Linked DNA regions of Elephas maximus indicus. The protein of the gene in region 1 binds, or shares a complex with, the protein of each later gene. Links are inferred from orthologs where the notes say so. Each region holds a gene or a part of one and is shown on either strand. Other genes may lie near its edges. The genes, in order: ARF1 and IQSEC2.

Region 1 (11,725 bases):
GAGGTTGGGACCCTTTGCAGAGGTAGTATTTCCAAAGGACCCCAACTGATAGGCGTCCAGCCCAGAAAGAGGCTGGAGAGGCCTCCTCGCCTTCACCCCAGGGCCACCGCAGAGCAAAGGGCAGGGTCTGTTCTGTGAGCTGGCCTGCTCTGTTCCACCCAGGATGGGACATCAGCTCTATTGTAGGTGAGAGGGTGGAGGGCATGGGCAGGGGTCACATGGAAGGGTCAGGACTCTCTGCCCCTAACAAGGTAATTAAAGGACAGGAAGAGGTGTTACCCATTCCAACCAGGCCAGCTGCCCCTGTGGACAGCAAAGACAAGGGAGGAGGGGGCTCGGCTCTGGCTGGGTAAGATCCCATTCCTGTTAACCCCAGAGAGGGCTCCTAGAGAGACCAGGAGGCGGATTCCTGGGGTCCTTGCTCGCCCCTTCCAACAGTCTGTGTCAGCTGAGGGCACTGATCCCCACTCACAGCCTCAACTGCCTTCTCTCTAAAATGGGTCTGTGATAAGCAGAAGAAAAATGAGCCACCAGAAGCAAAGAGCCACGTAAAATCATGAACTCCTGCCAGAGGGGGCCCTGTGGAGTGTGGGCACCTTCCACCCTGGGAGAGGGCGTGTCAGAGGCACAGGCCCTCGAAAACCTGCAGTTTCTTCTAAAGTTAAACAAACACTTAACCCACAAGCCAGCAATTCCACTTCAGGTATTTACCCAAGAGAAGTGAAAACACACTTCACAAAAAGACTTGTACAAGAATGTTTATTGCAGCTTTACTCGTAAACACCAAAAACTGGAAACAACCCAAGCGTCCATCAACAGTGGAATGGATAAACAAACGGCCGTGTATTCACACAATGGAACACACTCAGCAACAAAAAGGAACAAACAGCCAATTCAGGCAACACCAGGATGAATCCAAAACGTTACGCTGAGCCAAAAAATCGAGGCACAGAAGATACATACCGTGAGTCTGTGTATACAAAGTTCTAGAGCAAGAAAAGCTAAATCAGGGGGTGGAAATTACAAAAGTGGTTGCCTGGGGGCGGACTGGAGGGAAATGGGTAAGAGGGACTCTCGTGGGTGAGGGAAATCTTCTGTATCTTTATTGAGGTGTTGGTTTTGTAAAACACATCACCGTTGTACACTTCATATCTGTGCATATCATTGTCTATAAAGTATGCCCCAACAAAAGTGGAAAAAGAAAAAGCCTTTCCTGGTGCCCTGGACAGCCTCAGGGTCCTCGCCCACCAGGAGGATGGGTCCTAGTCCTGGGGCTGTGGGACAGACCGAATGTGGCAAACAGGGTGGGAGTTATCTCTGGTGCCTCCTGGGTCCTGGGGAGGCCACTTGCTGGGTGGATGGGCCCTCAAGGCCAGCGGCAGGAGAAGGTGCTCTCCAGCAGGTGGCAGGGCTACAGAGGGGCTGACGTTCTCCATGGGCTGGGGCCAGTCGCTGGTGGGCAAAAATCTGTCCAAGGTCGGGCCCAACCCCTCCTGCACCACGCACTCCTAGGGCGGATGGAGCAGCTCTCCAACTCTGCCGGGGGGCTCTTCCCAGAACATGCTCTGCCCCCCACGGCCCTGACTGCAGACTCTCCAAAGCCCATGCCCCCAAGCCTCCACCCTGTCAGCACACCAGGGCCCACCAGTGGAATCCCCAAATCTGAGAGCTCGGGGCTAGAAGGAGCAGGCAGGTCACCAGTCCATTCCCCCTGCATCCCTCATTTACCTTCAGATGCAGCCACACACTAGTGCAATGCCCTCAAAGTGGGTCCCTGGGCGAGCAGCATCAGCATCACCAGGGAACTTGCTAAAAAGGCAGATTCTCACTTCGTACCCCAGACCTGCTGAGTCAGACACTCTGGGGTGGGCCAGAGGTTCAACACAGCCTCCAGGGAACTCGGATGCTGTCACTGGGGAACCACGCACCCAACACACAGCCTCAGAGAGCAGACTCCTCTTCCCTTCCAGCCCTCACCCACCAGGCAACTCCAGCCTCCCCACAAGGCCCCCATCTCCCAGCTCACGGGAGACGTGCTTTTATCTGGTGGATCTCCCCTAAATCCTCTGGCTGCAAAGTCAGCCCCTTTCTACCAGCAGGGCAGGATTAGCTGTTCAACCCAGCAGACACGCCCTGTCGCTAGCTGGGGTAGGGGGCATAGCTAATTCCCCAGAGATCTCACCACCCAACCGAGGGGCATGGGCCAGGCAGTAGGTACCGGAGTGAAAGCAGGCCAGGCACGGTGGAGAGGAGTGGCCACAAAAAGAGGACACTGGGGGCAGAGAGAAATGCCCGAGAGCCTGGGCCTGCTGGGAAGTTGACGCAAGTGTGTTCTTTCTAGGCCGGTCCAAACCCTGGATGGCACTGGCCCTCTTAAACAGCACAACCACCCTCAGCACTCCCATTTGAGAGATGAGGCAACCGAGGCTCAGAGAAGACAAACAACTTGCCAAGACCCCACAGTGCAGGCGCTTCTGTCAGTAGGCAGACAGCAGGGTGGGCTGTGGCAGGGGCTGAGGCTGGAGGTGCACAGAGGGCCACCAAGGACCCTGGGCCCCCAAAACCCTTCTTCTCCCTGGTTCTGTCTCTGCATCTGGCTTGGGAGGTGGGAGGCAGGGGTTCTTGTGCCAGAGAGCCCCCCAGGGGTCTAGCAAAGCCCAGGACCTTTTCATAAAATAAACGACCCACCGTCACGAAAGAAACTGACATGTTATCAAAAGCTTCAAACACTTCATGGTAGAGGAACTGCTTGGGATGGCAGGTATCTTCTTATCTAGTTGTGGTGATAGGGCCACACGTGCACACAAGTGTACACAATAACTACGTTCGGCTTATTATATTTCAACTATACCTCGCAAAGCTGTAACAAATAGAAAAGCAAAGCCTGTGGAAAAGAGGGCAAGTGTGGTGCATAGAGCTATCAGTCTCTGTCATTTGCACCTGTGACAAGACTGGTGAGGGAGATCCCCCCCGTCACTTCCACTTAGTGGGGAGCAGAGACAGGAGCCCAAGGTTACTGCAGCAGCTGCCGTGAGACCTGAAGGTCTCTGAGGTTTCCACAGGTGACAGAGTCAGAGGTCCTGCTAAAACTGCCATTCTTGACTCTGCCCACATTCAAGTTGGCAGGAAATGCCAAATGTCAGTGAGAGGCCAATAACCATGAAGACTTGTGCTTTCCCAGCCCAGTGTGTGTCCCGTGAGCTGTGTGGCCATCACACACCTCATCTGCTGCACATGTGGGCCTGAGCACTGCCTGCCTCAGACCGTGGAAAGTGTGGCTAAGAGAATGCAAGACCAGGCGGAGTGGCCATCACAGCTGCTGCCAGAAGGGCACTTGGCCGGGTGAGAGCTGAGCTACGTTCGGAGGGGCCGCCCCATCCTGGGAGAGTGTCCCAGGCACAGGGAACACAAGCGTGAAGGCCTAGGCTCAGGGCGGTCCTGGCCTTTTCCCTGGCATGAACAGGAGTTCATCTCAGAGCGGTTGGGACCAAGGAAAGGATGGCACCAGAGTGACCCCGGTTCTGGAGACTGGGTCCTGGGTACCTTCTCTGAGATGGGGAAAATGACGCAGGAGAAGGTTTTGTTTTTGTTGTTGTTTGGTTGGTTGGTTTTTTAGAGGGAAACGGACATGCTACAGAAGGGACTGGGTTGGGGGGTAAGAGGTGCCCCTTGAGCCAGTTCTCTCCCACCTCATGGTACTGGATGGTGGTCCTCACGCTGCCTCTCAGCTGCTGCGTGGCCGCAGGTGAGCTCAGCCCTTGCCAGACAAGGCTCCCCCCACCACAACCAGAGTGGCAGTTGAGGCCTGGCTGGCCTAGACCCCAGCCCAGGCCCGAGGAAGGGGGAGTCACAGGGTAGAGTGTGGGGGCTTGTCCAGGCCCTCCTCCTGAGGACCCCCGTGGTCAGAACAGACCATGATCATTCCTGCAGTGGGCCTGGAGGAGGGAAGGGGATGGGGTCCTTTCTCCATCCCATCCCTATCCGCATGGAAGCCCTGTCTCAGCGGTTGCCTCTGGCCCCTCAGAGGGCCAGATGGAGGTGGGGGAGCATAGAGAACCAGATGATCCGCCGTGCTCCACAAAAATCATTGAAGTTCTTCCCACAATTCAGCACTGGGTGTTGAGCTGAGAGCCTTGACTTAGCCGGGGACCAGCTTCAGTCCCAACTTTGGAGCTTCCCCCAGGATGGGGCCTGGTGAAGAGCCTCCCCCAGCAGTTATGTTGAGGGCACAGGGACTGCAGGAAGGCCGGGCAGAGCAGATATGCCCATGAACAAGGGTTACCTTGGGCAGTGGTGAGCTCCCCATCCCTGGAGGGGTTCAAGATAAAATTTCACCCTCCAGAGGCAATGTAGCAGGTGAGCGGAAGACTGAAGGCATTGGCCACAGGCAGACTGGGGTTCTAGTCCCAGTGTGGCTAAGAACTAGCCATATGACCTTGAGTATGCTGCCTGACTTCTCACATAAAGTACTAGCCAAATTTTAACATCCACCCGCCCCTGGGGGCAGGGCTGGTGTCCTTGAGTGTATGAGTGCTCCCTCCTCACACCTCCATTCCAGCCAAACCGGCCACTTCTGCCCCTTCACTCAGGCCCGTCCTGCCCATCCTTCCAGCCCACCTTCCTCAGGATGCTGTCCTGTTCAGCCCTGACTGCTCTGAGCATCTGTCAGGGGCAAGGGGCCCGGCAGGTTAGTCAGAAAGGGAAGCTGGGTTGGGATCTCCCCAAGCTGTTGAGTTATCAGCTAAGGTGGCTGCGGAATGTGGACACCCCAGGGCCTGTGCTCTGCGCCGCCTCCTGGCCAAGGCTGAGAAGGCACCCACTCTAGGCCCCACCTTGAAGAGATTCTATCCTGGGAGTCCCACACAAGAGGGACACGGAAGCCCTAACTCCCTTGTCAACTTGGGCAAGCACCTGGGCCTTAGTTTCGCTAAATAACTGCCTGACACTTCCTGATCTTGGAATTATTCCCCTGGTGTGCCTGCTTTAACCTGAAGACAGCTCCCTTGCCCTGGGGGCAAAACCAGGAGGCCGAGTTTGGGAGGAAGTTACATTTCTTAACCTGGAATTCATTTATTTTTAAAACTGTGTGTATCTTACACACACTCCTTCCTATGTATGATAGCCTTCACTTTTTTTTTTTTTTTCTTTTTAAAGAAAAGGGAAGGTGAGCTCCAGTTTTCAGGTACTGCCACCTCTAAGTCTGTCTCCTCACTGCTCCTTTCCTCGGTTCCTCAGCTTTGAAGCAGTTGTGATCACAAGGTTCACATGTGGCTAGGATCTCTAGGATGACTGTGGGAGACACCAGCCACAGGCCAGCTCCCTGGGGTGAGAGCCATGACCACTGCAGTTCTAGGGAACCTCCATGTCCCTCCCTGGGAATGCAGACCCAGGAGCACTTCACAGGAGTATTTGTAGAGGGGAACCCTGGTGGCACAGTAATTAAGTGCTGGGCTGCTAACCCCTGTCAAACCCACCAATCACTCTGAGGGAGAAAGCTGTGGCAGTCTGCTTCCGTGTAGATTAGTGCCTTGGAAACCCTACGGGGCAGTTCTACTCTGTCATATAAGTTGGAACCAACTCAGTGGTAATGGGTTATAGGTCCGAATGGGAGAGAGACCCCTAAACAGACAACCCCACAGCAGTTGACAGAGGTGACATCTGAGCTGGTAGTGTGATGGCAGTTGTGTCCCAGGCAGAGAACGGGGTGGCGCTTGCAGGCAGGGGAGCCGTGGGCTCTTCCACAGATGACATGTTTTGGGGGCTGGAGCAGGGACTTGTCTATGGGGGCCTGGGTTCTCATTATTTCAGAAGGAGGAGAAAAGCAGTATTTGGAGACAGGTGGGTCACAGGGTCATTGCTGTCTGGGGTGATGGCAGCATTGGCATCGTGAGACCCGGGCCACGCCAGCCCAGCGAGCAGGCCACACCGCCTTTGCCAGGTGGGTGATGGGTGCACTTGGGGACAGGAGGCTGTCTGCCGGGCCACAGTTGCTCTGCAGGCTCTGGTGCTGACCGCCTCATCAGGCAGGCCCCTGGACTCGCCACGGAGTGATTATGCCAGGACCCAAGTGAAGGCTCCACTTTTGGCCACCCACAACACCTAGGGCACTGGGCTGGAAAGCTTCCCTGCATTTCCACTAAAGCTTCTGGAATGAGGAGCACCCACCGCGGGGGATTCAAAGTCACATGAGGGTGATGGGAGGATGTAGCCCTAGGGGTCAGCTGGAGGCCAAAGTGAGCCTCACAGTGGAGGCCAGAGCCAGATTCCTGCACCCTGAGAAACTGGGGGGAGTGATCGGTTCAGGGAGGCTTCCCCAGGAAATGTCTCCTCCAAGCCTCACCGTCAAGTCTGTCCCTTCCTCATTAGAGGTCACCCAACCACCCCCCTGCAATCACTCTCCCTCGTGCCACTGGCTTTCCTGCCCTGCTGACCCCGTACTACCGGACTCAGTAAATCATTTATTTCTTCCATATAGGACGGTGCTCCCGCAGGTCAGCTCCAGGGACAAGCGCGTTTGTTCTGGTCTCTGCCAGGCCCTTGGACGGCGTCCAGTAACGTTCCGGTTTGCAGGAGGAGGACGCCGGAGGCCTGAAAGCTCCCTGGAAACCCCCTTTTCTGTGTGTGGCCGCCTGGTGGTGGCCACGGGGCCCCCCACGATGCCGCGCGCGGGCCGCAGGGAGGTGGGCTCCTTCTGCCGGCGATGGACCGGACGGGAGGGACTGGACAGGAGGGCCTGGCCCCGTCCCACCGCTCCAGGCCCCGGTTCCACGTCGGTGAGAGGCGCAGCTGGCCCGGCGCCCAGCGCGCCCACTGCCCGTCCGATCGCGTGGACCGCTAAGGCACCTGGACCCGTAAGACCGGGACCGGCCAGGGGCGGGGCGCCGTTCCCTCGCTGCTCGCCCGCCGGCTCCGCCTCCGCGCGCGGCCCGCGCATGCGCACCCGGAGCGGTGTGGGCGTGGCCTGCGATGTCCCTGCCCCAGTTACCCGGCGTCTCCCGCGGCAGCAGGCACTGACGTGGCCGCCGTCAGAGCCGCCATCTTGTGGGAGCGAAACCAACGCCTGGCTCGGAGCAGCAGTAGCAGCAGCAGCAGCCGCCCGGCCGCCGAGGGGTGAGACGGCGGGGGGCACGGTGCGGGCAGGCGGCGGGGCTAGCCCTGGGGTTCGCGCGTGTCTCGCCCCTTCGGCGGCGGCGGGACCGGAGGCAGGCGAGGCCGTAGGGCCGGGCGGTTTGGGGCTGGGCCGAGCGGTCGGGGCGCGGAGGGCTTGGTCGGCGCCTCCCGTGTCCCCCTTGTTGGCCTCTGCTACCCCGAACGCTCCCGCGCGTTCTCGCCCGGCACCCTCGCCGCCTCCCCCTCGCCGGTCCCGAGATCCGGAGGCGCGGGCTTCGGTCCTGGCCTCGCCGGGAGGTCGGGCTTTTCCTTTAAAAAGCCTTCGTTTCCTGCTCCTTCTCTGGAGCCCTCCCCGCCTTCGAAGCCGAGAGGTTTGCTTCCTCCTCTGCTCGGGAACTGCTTGTTCGAGCGGGACTCGCTCGCCGGTGACCGGCGCAGGGAAAGGAAGTTGGAGCCGGCGCGTTTGAGTCATTTTGCCCTGGCAGGGTGGAGGAGGAAGCGGGGCGCTTAGGGCTCGGGGCGCGGTGGTCTCCCAAGGACGGATGAACGTCTAGCCGGCCCCTTCCAGGCGCCTCCGGGTGCCGACCTCTGGAGAGGAAATTTTATAAGCCTCGAGGTTTATGAGGGATCAGGAAACTGAGTCTTGGATCGGCTCCGTGACTCGGTGAAGGTCACAGATCGCTAGGGTTTGAACCTAGGCCTCCTGCCTCCAGTTCCTGTTTGCTCAGAAGCTGGGAGTCGGAGTTCGCCTGGCGGGTGCTGGGGGAGGGGAGGAGCGGCTGGGAGCTGCCTGAGGGCAGGGGCCCTGGGCTTTGCCTCTGTTGCCGAATGGAGGTTCGGCTTTCACGTGAGTGAGATCTGTAGACCTCTAAGACAAACCCGGCGTAGCCTAGGAGATGCGAAGACTTTAAAGGATGCCAAGCTCAGGGAGCTGCCTTCTGAGTAAATCGGCAGTCGAGGCTCCTGTGGCCTTTAGAGGACTGAATTATCCTTGCTTTTTTAACCTTAGGACTTTTTCCTTGAATGTCTTGGGGAGTAGATAAGAATACCTCTTTCGCAGCTGGCGAATCTTTAACCTACCTGTAAAACAATTTGCTCCTAAAGTCTAGGCAGTCTCTTTAGCAGAGCTGACCTCATGCTTTCCTGTTGCACAATCCGGGTTGTTACGGCATGGAAAATGGTAGTTTTGTTAATAAGGCTTAACAATTATACAGTACTTAAAACATTAAGTAATTATTTGAGACAGTACCTCGGAGCCTGGTGGCACACTCCCCATTTCATCGAAAGGAAAAGCAAACTGCTGTTTTAAATGACTTGAGCAGAATTGCACAAGAAATGGCTGGCAGAAAACGAGGAAATTTCAAAAGCTTTTGGGTGGTCCCAGAAGTTTCTGTTAAGAGCTGCACAGTTGATGTCACCACTGGTGTTGGAGTTGTCAGTCCCAGTTCTCCTTTCAGAACTAGTGTCAGCACTTTTTCCTACTTGCTGTGTGCACGACTGGTCCTGGTGTTTCCAGCAGTGTGTCTGAGGGAGTATAAGGTCACTGCATGGTGTACTGATCCTGTGGTCTTCTGCCTTGACATTCTCCACGGGTTAACAAAGTGCTACTGCTCTGTGGTGTCATCGCCATCGGCCACGTTGGTCAGAGGTTCTTATCTTGCTTGCACTAAGATCTTCTGGTAACCTCCTAGTGGAGGTCCTCAGTCCTGGATGTGCCACATTGTAGAGTTTTACTGGTCTTCCTAAATATCATGTTGAAAAATATAATGTCAGCATTAGAAATATGCTGCTCGTGTGGGGGTATTCTCAGATACTCAGAATTGCTACTCCAGAGAGATTTAAAATCACTGGTTTGGATAATAGCTGGCTTGACTTACACTCCACCACTCATCAGTGAGAGAGAATTAGTAGAAAGCAGAAACTAGTTCTGTGCTCTCTAGGGTTCTGGATTTTAAAAATCATGGTGTTTAGCTGATTGCACAATATGAAGAGGACATTCGGACTTCTTCAACTGCTGACCTGTCTGTACCCAAAACCAGACAGGCCTGAATCTCAACAAAGGTACAGTCTGGCTTTTCTTATTCACGTCAGGAAAATGTAATATGGGCCATCAACTGCTGAGGTGATCTCCGGAGTCAAAGGGCCATAGGAGTAAACCCAACCAAGGGAAAAAAAAAATCTGTTGTGCAGGTTCTTACAATGGTATATTAATTTGGCTTGAGAGCATTGAATCAGTTTTTTCAGATTTTTCTAATTAAATTTTGCCTTGATATGTCTGGATTTAAAATTGGCTGTTAATCACAGATCAGGCTTTTCACACTTTTTTGCACACACCTTCCTGAGCGTTGTTATCGTTCTACTTTACAGATGATCAGACCTCAGCCATTCTGGATTTGCCATGCTTTTCACAGACTATCCTTGTCCACATTGTCCGTGATAGGGACTCTCCCTTTGACCCGTTCAGCCTTCATAATGGTATTAGTAGAAGTGAAGGGAAATAAAAATGCAGATCTGTTAGAGGTAGTTGGGAGAGAAACAGACATTTCTTTCAGTTGGGAGTTTGACATTAAATGAGAAGTACCTTTTTTGTGCTGTATGGCTCCTTAACCGGCATAAAAAAAAAAAAACCCAGCGCCGTCGAGTCGATTCAGACTCATAGCGACCCTATAGGACAGAGTAGAACTGCCCCATGGAGTTTCCAAGGAGCACCTGGCGGATTTGAACTGCCAGCCATTTTACTGGCATAGGTGGTTGTTAAAGATGTCCTCTTAGCATCCTCTGAAGTAGGCTTTTGGAAAAGATTTTGACCTAATTGTGAGTTGGGTCTGACCCTACGTATGGGGAAGTAAAGGGTGGTGGGAGAGAAAGGAGGAGATAGAAATTCCAGGTCACCTGGATAACACTTAAGATCATTTTTTCATCCTTAGGCTTGTACCCTCTTGTGATTGTCATAAGCTCTGTGAAATATAGTTGCACCTCATCTTTTACAGCTATTCAGGAAGGTAGTTTCGCATTCTCAGGTGGGTCAAATGGCCTGATTAGCTGGAAAAAAATGGCAAGATTTAACACAGAAACATCAGGACTCTTTATTTCTAGGAGAATCTCTTTGGCCCTCACCCACAGAGTCTTGTCACAGCAGCTGCCCTGTAGAAACTGGAAAGAATGGTGGAGGCTGGCTGATTGAGGAACCCAACCTCCATACTATCCCGTTTCCTGGTTTTACATACAGTGGTAACTGGAGCTTAACAATCTGTCATCAGTGACTAGAAAGGGAAGAAGGAGTTCCTTCCAGTCCCTGACAATAGCAAGGGGCATGGTTTAAGTGACAGCGAGGGAGGAGACAGGAAAAAACATAAAGCCAGGCAAATTTCAAAAACATAGCATTGGGAGCTATTCAGTTTAGGAGGCAGACTTTTTTATACATCTCCGAGGCCTGAAGGGTGCTGTTGCTGTGTGGTTTAAGTTACTTAGAGATTTGATTATGATCTGTGCACATCTTAAGGATGTAGGAGTGTGTATTTTGGAAACAACTTTTACTCCTAAAAGAAATGCTAGCAGATTAGAAGGATTCATTTCTAAAGGGCTTCAAGTCGTAGTATTTGATTTTATGGAAAAGAATGTCTTTTTTTTTTTTCTTCCTTTTCTTCATACATTCAGTAACTTTTGCACTACTGCATATGGAAGCTGCACAGGAAACTTAGTGGTTCTAATCCTCTGAGATACCAAAGATTTTTAACAAGAAGTTTGTAAAGTATCCTGTCAGTTTGATTTGAAGACCCTGGGGTGGTACAAATAAATAGTTAACGAACTTGGCTACTGACTGAAAGGTCGGTGATTTGAGTCCGTCCAGAGGTGCCTCAGAAGAAAGGCCTGGGGATCTCCGGAAAACTCTGCCCTTGAAAACCCTGTGGCACACGGTTCTACTCTCAACTCACGTGGTTGGCAACCGCAGGTGATCAGTTTGATTTAGGTGCAAACAGCCAAGAAAACAATTTGTAAAGTCTCTGTAGAGTCCTTTGAAGAGTAGGAATGTAGACAGAGGGACGCAGGACAGAGGATTTCCTTTTAAAGAGTGCTCTAAACAGTACGCATGCCTGTAAAGGAGCAGCTTCCTACTCCTGTATGGACCAGAGTGCAATTCTTCATTAACTGACTGATTCCATTAATTTATATTTAGACTGTATCTTTTGGCAAAGTATTTATAGCTTTGAGCATTTCTCTTGTGCCAGGGTGATAGAAGATCTTGAAAATTACTGGGAAGATTAAATGAAAATGAGTTGAAGATATCTGCAGGCAAATTTAGAAAGCAGATTTTGCAGGCACACATATCCCGCCCATGGTATTTTTATATTGCTGAGATGCCGCACTTCTGCCTTGAGAAGTTAACGGTGTCTCTAACGCTCCTGCTCTCTACACTGTTACATTTGAAGGAATGTAGGGTACTGGACCACATGGACAGCATGAAATACCATCGGTGGCTTGTTATGTTTTTACTGACAGCCCACGTTTTAGGAAAAACATCTTTGTAGATGTGTGGTTAATCTTTTTGATCATTAAGGGCCCTAGTAAATGCTCTTCTACAATTATTTTCACCTCTACCTAGTGCCAAACTGAA
Region 2 (11,181 bases), on another chromosome or scaffold:
CTATGCTCCAGGCCTTTCTATGCTCCCAGAGAATTCAGAGGCCACAGTAGGCAGGGGTGGGACAGGCGAGGAAAGGGTAGCAGAGAGCAAGCCTGAGTCTGGCTTCTTTGTCCCACTTTTCTCTCCATGGAAAACCAGGAAACCACCCACTCTCCTTCAAAGCCCCCTCCACCCCCACCCCTGGCCCTCAACCAGTGGTCTTGCCTGCCCTGACCCCTCCTTTCTCTGAGGACCTCCACTTCTCATCACTCTTGCTACTCATTTTGTCCTGAGCATTGTCTCTATGGCATGATTGGGCCTGGAACCCTGTCTCTCTGGCTGGGGACAGGGCAGGGGGAGCCTCTGCAAACACAAAGAGCATGGTATTTGTTCAGCCTGGTGGCCCCTCCTGCTCTTTGCACACAGCCGGGAAATGTTTGTGGATGACAACAGCCCCATTCTTGCCCCAGATCTAGACAGAGAAGCAAGACTTCTCAACATCATCATTTCCTCCCACACCAAGTATAACGCTCACAACACAGTGAGGGTAAGATAAAATGATTTTCCCTCCTGGAAATGAGCAACCTCTGGGAAAAGTACCCTAGACCCCAAAGGAGATAGATTTCCTCAGAGCCCCTCCCTAGGTGCTCTCTTTCACTCACTCATTCCCAGCACCCTAAGGTCCTGCCAGAAGCATGAGAACACCCCCACTGCATGCAGGAAGACAGCCCAGCAGTCGTGCTGTTAGGCCACACATTGCCCTGGTCGTCAAGAACAGCAGGCTGGTCCCTCTAGTTGCTGTCTCCAAATGTGAGCAGCTTGTGGGGTGGGGGTGGGACAGAAGCTGGAGAGCTACCACCAAAACAGCTCCAACTCACCACTGCCTACAGTACAGCCTGAGCTGGGCCCATGCAACAAGCGTGGGAAAGGCAGCTCTCTTCAGCGTGGAGCAACTCAGCAGTGGCCCCTAGCACTCCTATAAATCATTCTGGGTGCCAGAACTGCAAGGGAGGGCCAGGTCAAGATCAACAACAAAAGCAGCACTCTTCTCTAATCACCTGGATGGAGGCAACGATTTCAGGTAAAAAGATCCGAGCATTGGTGAGGACCAACAGCTCCGTAAAAACAAAACAAACCAAGCCAACCAAACCCTCACGTACAGAGGACCAGCGTCCAGAAGGAGGTAGGGACTCCTTTTGCTCTACACTGCACTAGAAAGGCCACACTTACAGAACAGCAGAAGGGATACCGGCATACTGGAGCCTATCCAGAAGAGACAGTGCAGGAGGATGTGGGAATCACATGTAGATAATATGAGTGGAGCTGGACGTGACAGCTGACATCCAATGCAGTAAAGAGCCAAAGTTCACAGGATTGGGAGTCTGTCTTATTAACAGCATCACCTCCAGTGTGTCATTTCACTTCTTTGAGTTTCCTCTGCTATAAAATGTGGATTGTGATGACAGATGCCCAGGATTATTGCGAGGACTAAATAAAACCCCTAGGCAGAGCAGACCCCCAACAAGCGGCAGCTCAGCCCAGGCCACACTCTCTCCTCTTTGTCCACCAGAGGGAGCCTGGGAACCAGGAACGCCCAGCTGGTACCAACTCTACCTATCCTCCCCCAATGCTGCAGCCTCTGCTGCTAAACTCCCACTCTGCCTGCCCTCGCTTCCAGCAGCAGCCTTCTCACCCACTCCTTAAGAACCCAGAACAGGTCTGGCAGGGGAGTCATGTGCAGCAGCACTGGTGGCAACATTGGCTACTGAATCAACAAGGCCCTCATGACGCCTGACCAGGAGGGAGAGTGGAAAGAAGGGAGACACGGACTTCTTCCCTCCCCCACCAACTCCCCCACTCATCCCAGTCATCTCCTCCTGCTAAAAGCATCTAGATAGTCAAGGCTCTTCTGGCCTCTTTCAGTTCAGTACCTGTCCAGCTTTTGAGGCCAAGAGATTCCTGTGGGTTAGAAAGATCTAGTGGCAAAATAGCAGGCTTTGGAGATAGGCAGACTTGGGTTCTAGTCCCAGCTCCATTAATAGCTAGCTGCATAACCTTGAGCATGGTTTCTTCATCTTGGAACCTCAGTTTCCCCATCTCTAAAATGGAGCTGATTATGCTCACTGCAAAGGGCCTGTTGTAAGGGCCAAAAGAGCTAATGATGGATGTACAAATGTTGGTTAATACATGATTGAGAGAAATGCAAAGTACTAGGTAAACCTCCTTATTAATCCAGTAGGAAACATGAAGAAAGAAAATCCAACAAACAACCTGGAGAGTGCACAAAAGGAGGGAAGGACCAAGAGGCAGGTCCTGCATGGATGGTAGAAGTATGGAGCTCAAGAGCAAATGGGCTTCCAGCCAGCCCGGAGATCTGACCCATGTCAGCAGGATGGATACTCTGAGGATAATGGAATTTTGGAATTGGGAAGGCTCAAGTCATTTCATTGGGCTTTATACCTGATTCAGGAATTATGCTTTCTCCAGCTCTCCCAGACCCCCATCTGGCCATTGCTGGACATGTCTAGACAACCCCCGCCCCCACCACTTGAGGCAGCCCACCGCATCACCAGACAGCCAGATTGCAAAGTTCTTCCTGATTTATTCCCAAATCTTCCAGTTGCTCCTGGTTCTTCCCTCTGGAGCCCTCGTATAATGAAGCTGCTTCCTCTGTTACAGGCCTGACCCCTCTAGAAAAGTCTTCTGCAGCCAGGCTCAAGGACCACAATGCCCCATCCAATCTACCTCTGCCCTCACCCCACCATGGCCCTTTCCTGAATGGGCCTTAGTCTATCTGTATCCCTCTTCCGGTGTGGTGCCCCAAGCTGCACACAGTCCTCTAGGAATGGGCTCCTGGCATCACTGCCTAGGCATGACAGCCCACCCCTCTCACCCCCAGACTACTCTGGGCCAGTCCACACCAACACCCAGCTGAGGGTACGCTGCAGTGGAGTCCAGATGAGCCCTCAAGCTGCAGCTGCTTCTCCTGGGGCCCAGCCATCTCAACCCAGCACCCCAGCCTGCTGCCTCACCACGGGGGAGTTGCAGAGAGCTGTCTCCCAGCAGACTTCCTGAGGCAGAAGGCTTCCCCACCCCCAGCCTCCAAGAGACACTCCACTGGTTGTGGCACATGGTAGGACCAGCTGAGCAGCGGGGGGGGGGGGGGGTGCTGTCCATTCGCTTGAGGACTTAAGACTTGCTCTGTGGTGTGGCTGGATTAGTCACAGAACCATCAAATCTAGGCTGTAGGGGCCCTGAAAGAGCATCCTTTGCCTTTTAAAAAGATATGGAGGAACCGATGGGTTGAGAGAGGAAGGGACTCAGTCAAGGTCACAAAGCCAATCTGCAGCAGAGCTGGAAGGGGAACCCAGGTCTTCTAACTCCCAGTTCAGTGTTCTTTCCAATACAGCAGAAAATAAATAAGGGAGACTTTAGGGAAGCCCTTTGAGTCAGCATGCCCTTGACCCTCTCAGCTTGAAACATTTATCCCACCCAGTTGATGATGTTACCTACATGAAAAAAGTGGCACCAGCCCCATATGTCCCACCAACCTAAGGGATATCGTTGAGGTATCCCAAATAGGTGGACACACAGATTCAAGCACAGAAACTGAAAAGCATCCAAGAGGGGAGATCCTTCCTGGTACAGCTCTTTAATTGGGTGTTGTTTTTCTTGAAGGGTGGAGAGGGGGTGGACTTTGAGGAACTAGCCAAGGGCTGGCCTCCATCTTTGCTCCTCAGGGCCAGGATGTGCTGCAGTTTCCCTTAGAGAGATGTCTCAGCCTCCAGCAGCCATTCTGGTCCCCACCTGCCTCTCTGGAAAAGGATGGAGCTGAGGCTGCCAGAGGAGATGAGATCAGGCCTCCACTAAAAACCTTCAGAGGAGACCCAAACAGGCAAAAAAAAAAAGGGGGGGGGAGGTTTCTCTCCTTGGGAATCTGAGTTGACAACACCATCACCAACAATAAAAATCCTAACCAGTACATCCAAAACAAATAAATAAATAAATGAAAAGCCATCCTCTGACAGCGATATAGCTAGGGGTTGGGGGGGGTGGGGATGATGACTGCTCTAGTCCTTCACTGGTCTCGGCTTTGGGCAAGGGGAGACACCTGCACTCATCTGGCCATCCCAGTCTGGAGTGGCTAGGGAATGGGTGTCGGCTGGATGAGGAGAACCCAGCTTCTCCTGGTGGGTTGGTATAGTGTGAAAGAGGGAGAGGAGGTAAATGGAAATCCGGCACAGGCTTCTTACTTTATCGGCCGGCCAGACAAGTTGAAGAAGGATCTAGAGGGGAAGAGAGGGAGGGAGAAGTACAAACACACGTTCCTTACTTTCTCTGGAGGGTTGTGGCTGGACTGGTGCTGGTACTGGTGCTGTGGCCTCCCCCGGCCCCAGGGCTAGAGCTCCTGGATGCGCCACGACTCAGCTGGCCTCGCTCCCGCGGTGGCCGCGACCCCACGCCCACTGCCGCGGAATAGCCAGCTTCCTTCTCGCGGCCAGAGAGAGCTGGCCCGGCCTCCCGCCCGCCACGCTCGCGACCTAGGGCTGGATTCTCGTGGTGCAGATGGCACTGGGCCACATCGCGCTCGCGGGGTGGGTAGTTAGTGTCCTGGAGCGGGTAGGAGGCTTCCCGCTCCTTGTCCCGATACACAGCCTCCCGGTTCTGGTAGGCGCCGTCCCGGTTCGGATATCCCACGTCCCGAGCCGCCTGGTGGAACTGGCTCTCCCGCAGCTCGCGATGGTGGAACTGAGTCTCGCGTAGGTTCTGGTACTGGCTCTCGCGGCCGGGGCTATCCCGCGCGCCGTGGGGGTCCCGGTGCAGCTCCCCGCGGTGTAGCTGGCTCTCTTCCCTCAGGTCGCGGTTCTCCTGGGTGAGCTGGTCCAATTGGCCCTCCAGCTCTTCAATGCGCCGCCGCTGAGTCTCCAGCAGCTGCTGCTGGCTTTCGATGATGTTGTTCAGCTCCAGCAGGTACTCCACCGCCCGGTTGGGGCTCTCGGAGCCCGGGCCGCCTGGAGTCCCCGACCCTGCCTCCATCCTGGCAGCCCAGGGGCAGGGGAAAGGGCACGAAAGCCCGGTCCCCGCTCGCTCACGGCGCCACCCTCCCCCGGGCCCAGCCGGGGGAGGGGGCCGGCGGGACGCGAGGGCGCGCACCGGGCTTGAGGGCCCGGGGGCCCGGGGGGGCCCGGGAGACAGCGCTGGGGCCGGCGGCACCGGGAGCAGGAGCTGAAGCTGCCGCTACCGCCGCCGCCGCCGCCACCGCCACTGCTTGGGAGGATGCGGGCCACGGCGCTCCGCCCGCTGCGGAGTCGCTGCGTAGCGCCGCCGCGCGGGACCGCCCAGGCCGCCGGCCCGCCCTCAGCCCCTGGCTCCACCCGGCTTGCCCGGCCCACCCCCGCGCGCTCCACCTGCAGCCTCCAGCCGCGTCCACAGCCCAACTGGCTCCAAGGCACCGGCACCAGACGGGGGTCAGCCCCATCACAGCCTGCTGGAGATCTTGCCATTTCACCGGTCCCTAGGGCCCACACCTAATGCAGCCTAACGAATCCCTCCATCCCAGCCCGCTCCAATGTTCCTCAGATCCAAGCCGTACTGGGAACACCCATCCCCTGCAGCCCCCAAGTCCAGGCCACCCGCGGACTCCCCATCCCAACCACTAGGTCTGCCAATCCCAACCAGAGTTAGACTCCCCATCCCAGTCAAGCCCTGGACCTCCTTTCTCAGGAGGCCTCCCTCCAGCCCCCATCCAAGCCAACTCCAGTCCCTCCAGCCCAGCCAGTCCCCAGCTCCCCCAATCCCAGGAAGTCCCTAAACTCTCCATCCCAGCCAACTTCAGGATCCCCCATCCAACCCAGGCAGTCCCAGAAGTCCCCATCCCAACAAGCCCTGGGACGCCCCCATGACAGCCAGTGTTAGGATCAAGGCTCCATTCATTCATTCATTCATTCATTCAACCCTCATTTTCTGCACTCCTTTGGAAATGCTACCCCCATTCATTCCATCATCTCCATCCAAAGAAACTGTACCCATCCTTTAAGGCTTAACACAAATACCACCTTACCGAAACCAGCCCTGATTTCCCCAGTTAGAAGTATTTTCTCTCCTCTTGACCACCCACTGCACTTCCTCTGTCCCTCTCTTGTGGCACTTGTGGGACAAGTGGAACTCTGCTTTATAGCACATTTGTTTGTGTTCTTGTTTTATGTCCTCAGCTAGTCTGAGTTCCTTAAAGCCAGAAACATGCCTTAATTTATCTTTGTGAACATGGTGTAGTAGAGGAGAAAGCTTGAGTTTTACAGTCAGATGAAATTGGATTTAAATTCCATCTTCTCCTCTCTGAACTTCTATTTCCATATCAATAACATCTACCTCACAGGAGTAGTCTTGGGGAAAAAAACATGCAAAACACCTCGCGCAGAAAAGACAACCCTCGAATGGAAAGAAAATATTTGCAAGTCATATATCTGATAAGGAATTGGTATCTAGAATATATAAAGAACTCTTACAACTCAACACCAAAAAGACAAGCAACCCAATTTAAAAAATTGGCAAAAGACTTGAACAGACACTTCTGCAAAGAAGATTACAAGTGACAAATAAGCACATGAAAAGATGCTTAATGAAAAGTCATCAGGGAAATGAAAGTTAAAACCACAATGAGATACCACTTCACACCCACTTTGATAGCTAAAATAAAACAGAAAATGAAAAGTGTTGTGGAGCATGTGGAGAATTTGGAACCCTGGTACATTGCTGGTGACAACGTAAAATGGTGCAGCCTCTGTGGAAAACAGTTTGACAGTTCCTCAAAATGTTAAACATAGAGTTACCATATGACCCCACTCCAAGAGAAATGAAAGCACGTCCACACAAAAACTTCTACAAGAATGTTCATAGCTAGAAGAAACCTCAAATTCCTTAAAAAAAAAAAAAAAAAAAGGCCAGACTCACTGGACCAACAGAGACTAGAGAATCCCCCAAGACTATTGCCCTGAGATACTCTTTAAACTTGGACCTGAACCCACCCACTCCTGGCGGTCATCTTTCAGCTAAATAATAGATTGGCTCATAAAATAAACAATATCACCTGTGAGTACTGTGCTCCTTTAGATAATCATCTATATGAGACCAAATGATCAATATTTACCATAAAGCAAAGATGAGAAGGTAAGGGGGGGGGCAGTGAAGCTAGATTAATGGAAACGGAAATAATGAGAATACTGACACATTATGAAAGATGTAACCAATATCACTGAACAATATGTACAGAAATTGTGAAATGGGAATCTAATTTGCTGTGTAAACTTACGCCAAAAATAAAGACTATTTAAAAAATGCTTTAAAAAAGGAGGCGGGGCCAACATGGCACTATCAACAGAAGCACCATGCCCTCCCTCTGCAACAAAGACCTGAAAAACTAAGTAAACAGATACAAACATCAGTCCTGGAACCCTAAGTACCAAATGAAGGAATAAAGAACTCAATCAAGCATCAAATGGAATAAGAAACTGACAGAGAACAAGGGGAGCTACAGAGTGGAGGTCCCATACCAGCTAAAGTGGCTGGATTTGCCATTTTGGGCTACAGCCACCAAAGAACTCAGACAGGAAGTGTGGGAAAGCAACTTCATGGAGCACTCAACAGGTGACAGAGCACCCAGTAACCAGGGATACACACTTTCCCACCCCACACCTTTCTTCCCTCTAGGCAGCCTCCACCGCTTGCCAATGGGCCGTGGTCACTCAGGCAGAGAGATACCAGCTCACTGCCACCAGGGCTCGCCATCTTGGACCTCAGCCACCAAGGACTGCAGACAGAGAGTACAGTAAGGCAACTCCATGGAGCTCCCAGCAGGAGACAGAGCACTCAGTAACCAGGGATATACGCTTTCCCACCCCCCATCATTCTTCCCTATAGGTGGCCTCCACTGCTTGCCAATGGGCCATGGTTGCTCCACCGGAGAGACACTGGCTCACTGCCACTGGAGTTTGCTCCACCCACATAAGCCGGCCCTTTCAGCACCATTTTTTTGTTATTTTTTTTTTTTTGGCTTTCGTTGTCGTTCTCTCTCTTCCTTCCTTTCCTTTTTCCCACGCAGCTAGCCCTGTGTGCCATCCCTTCCCCTTCTTGACAGGCTTTTGTTTTTTTTTTTTGCTTTGTTCTTTTTCTCTCTGTGTGTGTGTTTATTTGTTTTTTGATATATTTTTTTGAGCTTTTTTGTTGCTTTTCTCTCTCTCCCTTCCTTCCTTTTCTTTCTCCTGCCCAGCTAGCCCCATGTGCCATCCCCTCCTCTTCTTGATGGGGTGTAACTTTTTAGTTTGCTTTGTTCCTTTTTTTTTTTTTTTTTGGTTTAATTGTTTGTGATATATATATAGCCTTTTTTGTTGCTTCTCTCTCTCTCTCTCTCCCTTCCTTCCTTTCCTTTCTCCTGCCCAGCTAGCCCTGTGTGCCATCCCCTCCCCTTCTTGATGGGCTGTGATTTTTTTGGGTTTGTTTGCTTTGTTCTTTTTTTCCCCTTCTTTTCTTCTCTCTCTCTCTCCTTTCCTTCCTCCCACCCACCCAGCCCTGTGCACCACCCCCACCCCTTCTGGAGGGGCTGTGCTGCACAATTCAGTTGGAGAGTCACTGCACTCAGCCTCCCTGGGTCTACACCACCGTCATCGACTGGCTTCCTCAGCACCATTTTATTTATTGTTTGTTTTCTTTTCTTTTTTTCTTACTGTTTCTTCTCTCTCTCCCTTCCTTCCTTTCCTTTCTCCCATCCACCCAGCACCGTGCGCTGCCCCCAGTTTCTTGTTGGGCTGTGCTATACCACTTGGCTGAAGACCCTCTGGCACGCTGCCTCCCAGGGTCTGTGCCACCCCCACGGGCCAGCTCCCTCAGAGCCATATTTTTTATTTCTTTATCTTTCCCCTTCTCCTTTTCCTTCTCCCTCCCACCTAGACCCTGCACTACCTCTGCCCCTTCCTGTTGGGCTATGCTGTGCTGTGCCACCCAGCGAGAGAGATATCAGCTCATCACCACTCCAATTCTGCCCAGCCCCTAATGGCTGGTGCCCCCGCCACCATATATATATATCTTGCTGTTGTTTGTATTTTTCATTATTATTTATGTATATATATATATATACGTTATTTTGTTTGTTTGATTGTTGGTTGCTTCTCTCTCTTTCCCCTTTTACTTCCCTTTCTCTCAACCACTTAGCCCTGTGTACCACCCACACCACTTCTCAACAGGCTGAGCCACACGGCTCTGCTAGAGAGCCACCAGCACATGGTCTTGCTGCATCTTCCCCACCTCCCACCCACTGAATCCTACCACACTGCCGTTTTATTTACTTTTTTCTTTTTCTTTTTTTACTTCATTTTTTTGCCTTTGTTTCTCTCCTTTCACCCATCCACTCAGCTCTGCACATCTCACCCTCTTCTTTCCCTTGTGCCTATCTGTACTGTGCATGAGTGCCATGCCCTTAAGTGGTACCGACTTTGGTCCCTCAGACACTGCCCTGCACTGCCCCCAGCCCCATCCTATTGCCCCCAGTTCAGTTCATGCCACAAACTAACCATCCCTGCCCCTCCACCCCCGCTGGACCCACCCTGATACACCATAGCTGAGTCACCAGCCCTGCCCACCTGGACAAGGTGTTCAGAAGTATCGTGCACACAGGCAAGCAAGCAACAAAACATACCCAGCCCGCCTACCAAGACATAATCAAATAAAACATAAAGCAGAATGAAACAATCAAATCTACAACAAATAAATGAAGAAAATAATTCCTGAAAGTCCCAGAGACAGCAGACAATATTAAAACATTAAAAAAAAAAAAAAAAAAAGGAGAGGATGGCTCCAGAAAGCGACAAAAATAAAATACCAGATGACCTTCTGCCAGAAAAAAAGGCACTGGAACTACATGATAGGGAATTCAGATGTCTAATATTCAGGGATCTCCAACAGATGAAGGAAAATGCAGACAAAAATAAGGGAAAAAATAGACAAAATCATGGAAAAGACAGACAAAACAATGGAAGAGATCAGGAAACTAATGCAGGAGTAAATCGTCAAATAAACAACAAGAAATCACACAAAAACAGCAATTAGAAATCCAAAAGATAAACAACAAGATTTCAGAAATGGACAGTGCAATAGAAGGTTTTAGGAGCAAATTTGAAACAATGGATGAGAAAAAAAAATTTTTTTTTTTTTGAGGACCAGTGAAATTGAAGACAAATCCTTGGATACCACTATCTTTGAGGAAAAATCAAATAATGAAGAGAAATGAAGAAACTCCGAGAACGATGTGGGATACAATCAAAAGCAAAAACTTGCATGTGATCGGAGTTCCGGAATAGGGGGAGAAAATGGAAAACACAGAGAGGATCATGGAAGATTTGCTGATAGGAAACTTCCCTAATATCATGAAAGATGAAAAGCTGACTATCCAAGAAGCTCAATGAACCTCATATAGGATAGACCCCAAAAATAAAACATCAAGACAGATCATAATCACACTTGCTAAAACCAAAGACAAATAAAGAATCCTGAGAAAAGCTCAAGAAAAATGAAAAGTCACATACAAAAGGGAAACAATAATACTAAGCTCTGATTACTCGGCAGAAACCATGCAGACAAGAAGGCAAGGAGATGACATATATAAAATCTTAAAAGAAAAAAACTGCCAACCAAAAATAATATAGCCTGCAAAACTCTAGCTCAAATGTGATGGTGAAATTACGACATTTCCAGATAAACAGAAATTAAGGGAATACATAAAAACCAAACCAAACTTACAAGACTTATTAAAGGGACTCCTTTGGTTAGAGAACAAACAACATCAGACAACAACCTGAATCTAGCACATAAGACAGCATCAGCCAGATACCAACATAGATAATGAACTGTCAAGGATAAAACAAAACTAAAAAATTTACAACAGGGAAAATTTACAGAGATGTCCATCTGTAAATGACAACAACATCAGAACAATAAAAAAGGGAATAAATGGTGTGCATATAGAAATTTCAAATGGAGAGGAAGTCAAGGCTTTAACAAGTAATAAAAGACTGGTTGAAACTTGGGAAGCTAGGGGTAAATTTCAAGGTAAGCACAAAGAAAGTTAACAAACCTACTCATTATAATAAAGAAGAAAAACAAAATCTGAGAAAACACAAAATCTACAAAAACAGAAGAAACAAACAAACAAAA

The links.
Region 2: the proteins of ARF1 (region 1) and IQSEC2 are in contact, whole or in part, in a crystal structure (PDB 6FAE), measured with the Homo sapiens proteins. The link is inferred for Elephas maximus indicus from reciprocal best matches to the Homo sapiens genes ARF1 and IQSEC2. Residues at the interface, in NP_001019397.1 of Homo sapiens: Arg19, Gly24, Leu25, Asp26, Ala27, Lys30, Thr31, Ile46, Pro47, Thr48, Ile49, Gly50, Phe51, Asn52, Val53, Glu54, Thr55, Thr64, Trp66, Asp67, Val68, Gly69, Gly70, Gln71, Lys73, Ile74, Pro76, Leu77, Trp78, His80; in NP_001104595.1 of Homo sapiens: Arg810, Gln811, Gln841, Arg845, Val846, Gln847, Gly848, Glu849, Ala850, Gln851, Val853, Glu854, Glu858, Asp879, Phe882, Ile883, Phe886, Ala887, Ile889, Leu890, Asn892, Thr893, Asp894, Tyr896, Ser897, Pro898, Ser899, Val900, Arg904, Met906.

What each region holds. Positions count from the first base shown.
Region 1 is NC_064820.1:232,616,389-232,628,113, reverse strand, and holds the start of ARF1 (ADP-ribosylation factor 1), read left to right. Parts: upstream 1-7,004; 5' UTR 7,005-7,110; intron 7,111-11,725. UniProt on the Homo sapiens protein: Small GTPase involved in protein trafficking between different compartments. Modulates vesicle budding and uncoating within the Golgi complex. In its GTP-bound form, triggers the recruitment of coatomer proteins to the Golgi membrane.
Region 2 is NC_064846.1:115,398,589-115,409,769, reverse strand, and holds the start of IQSEC2 (IQ motif and SEC7 domain-containing protein 2), read right to left. Parts: upstream 5,252-11,181; 5' UTR 5,017-5,251; coding exon 4,313-5,016; intron 1-4,312. UniProt on the Homo sapiens protein: Is a guanine nucleotide exchange factor for the ARF GTP-binding proteins.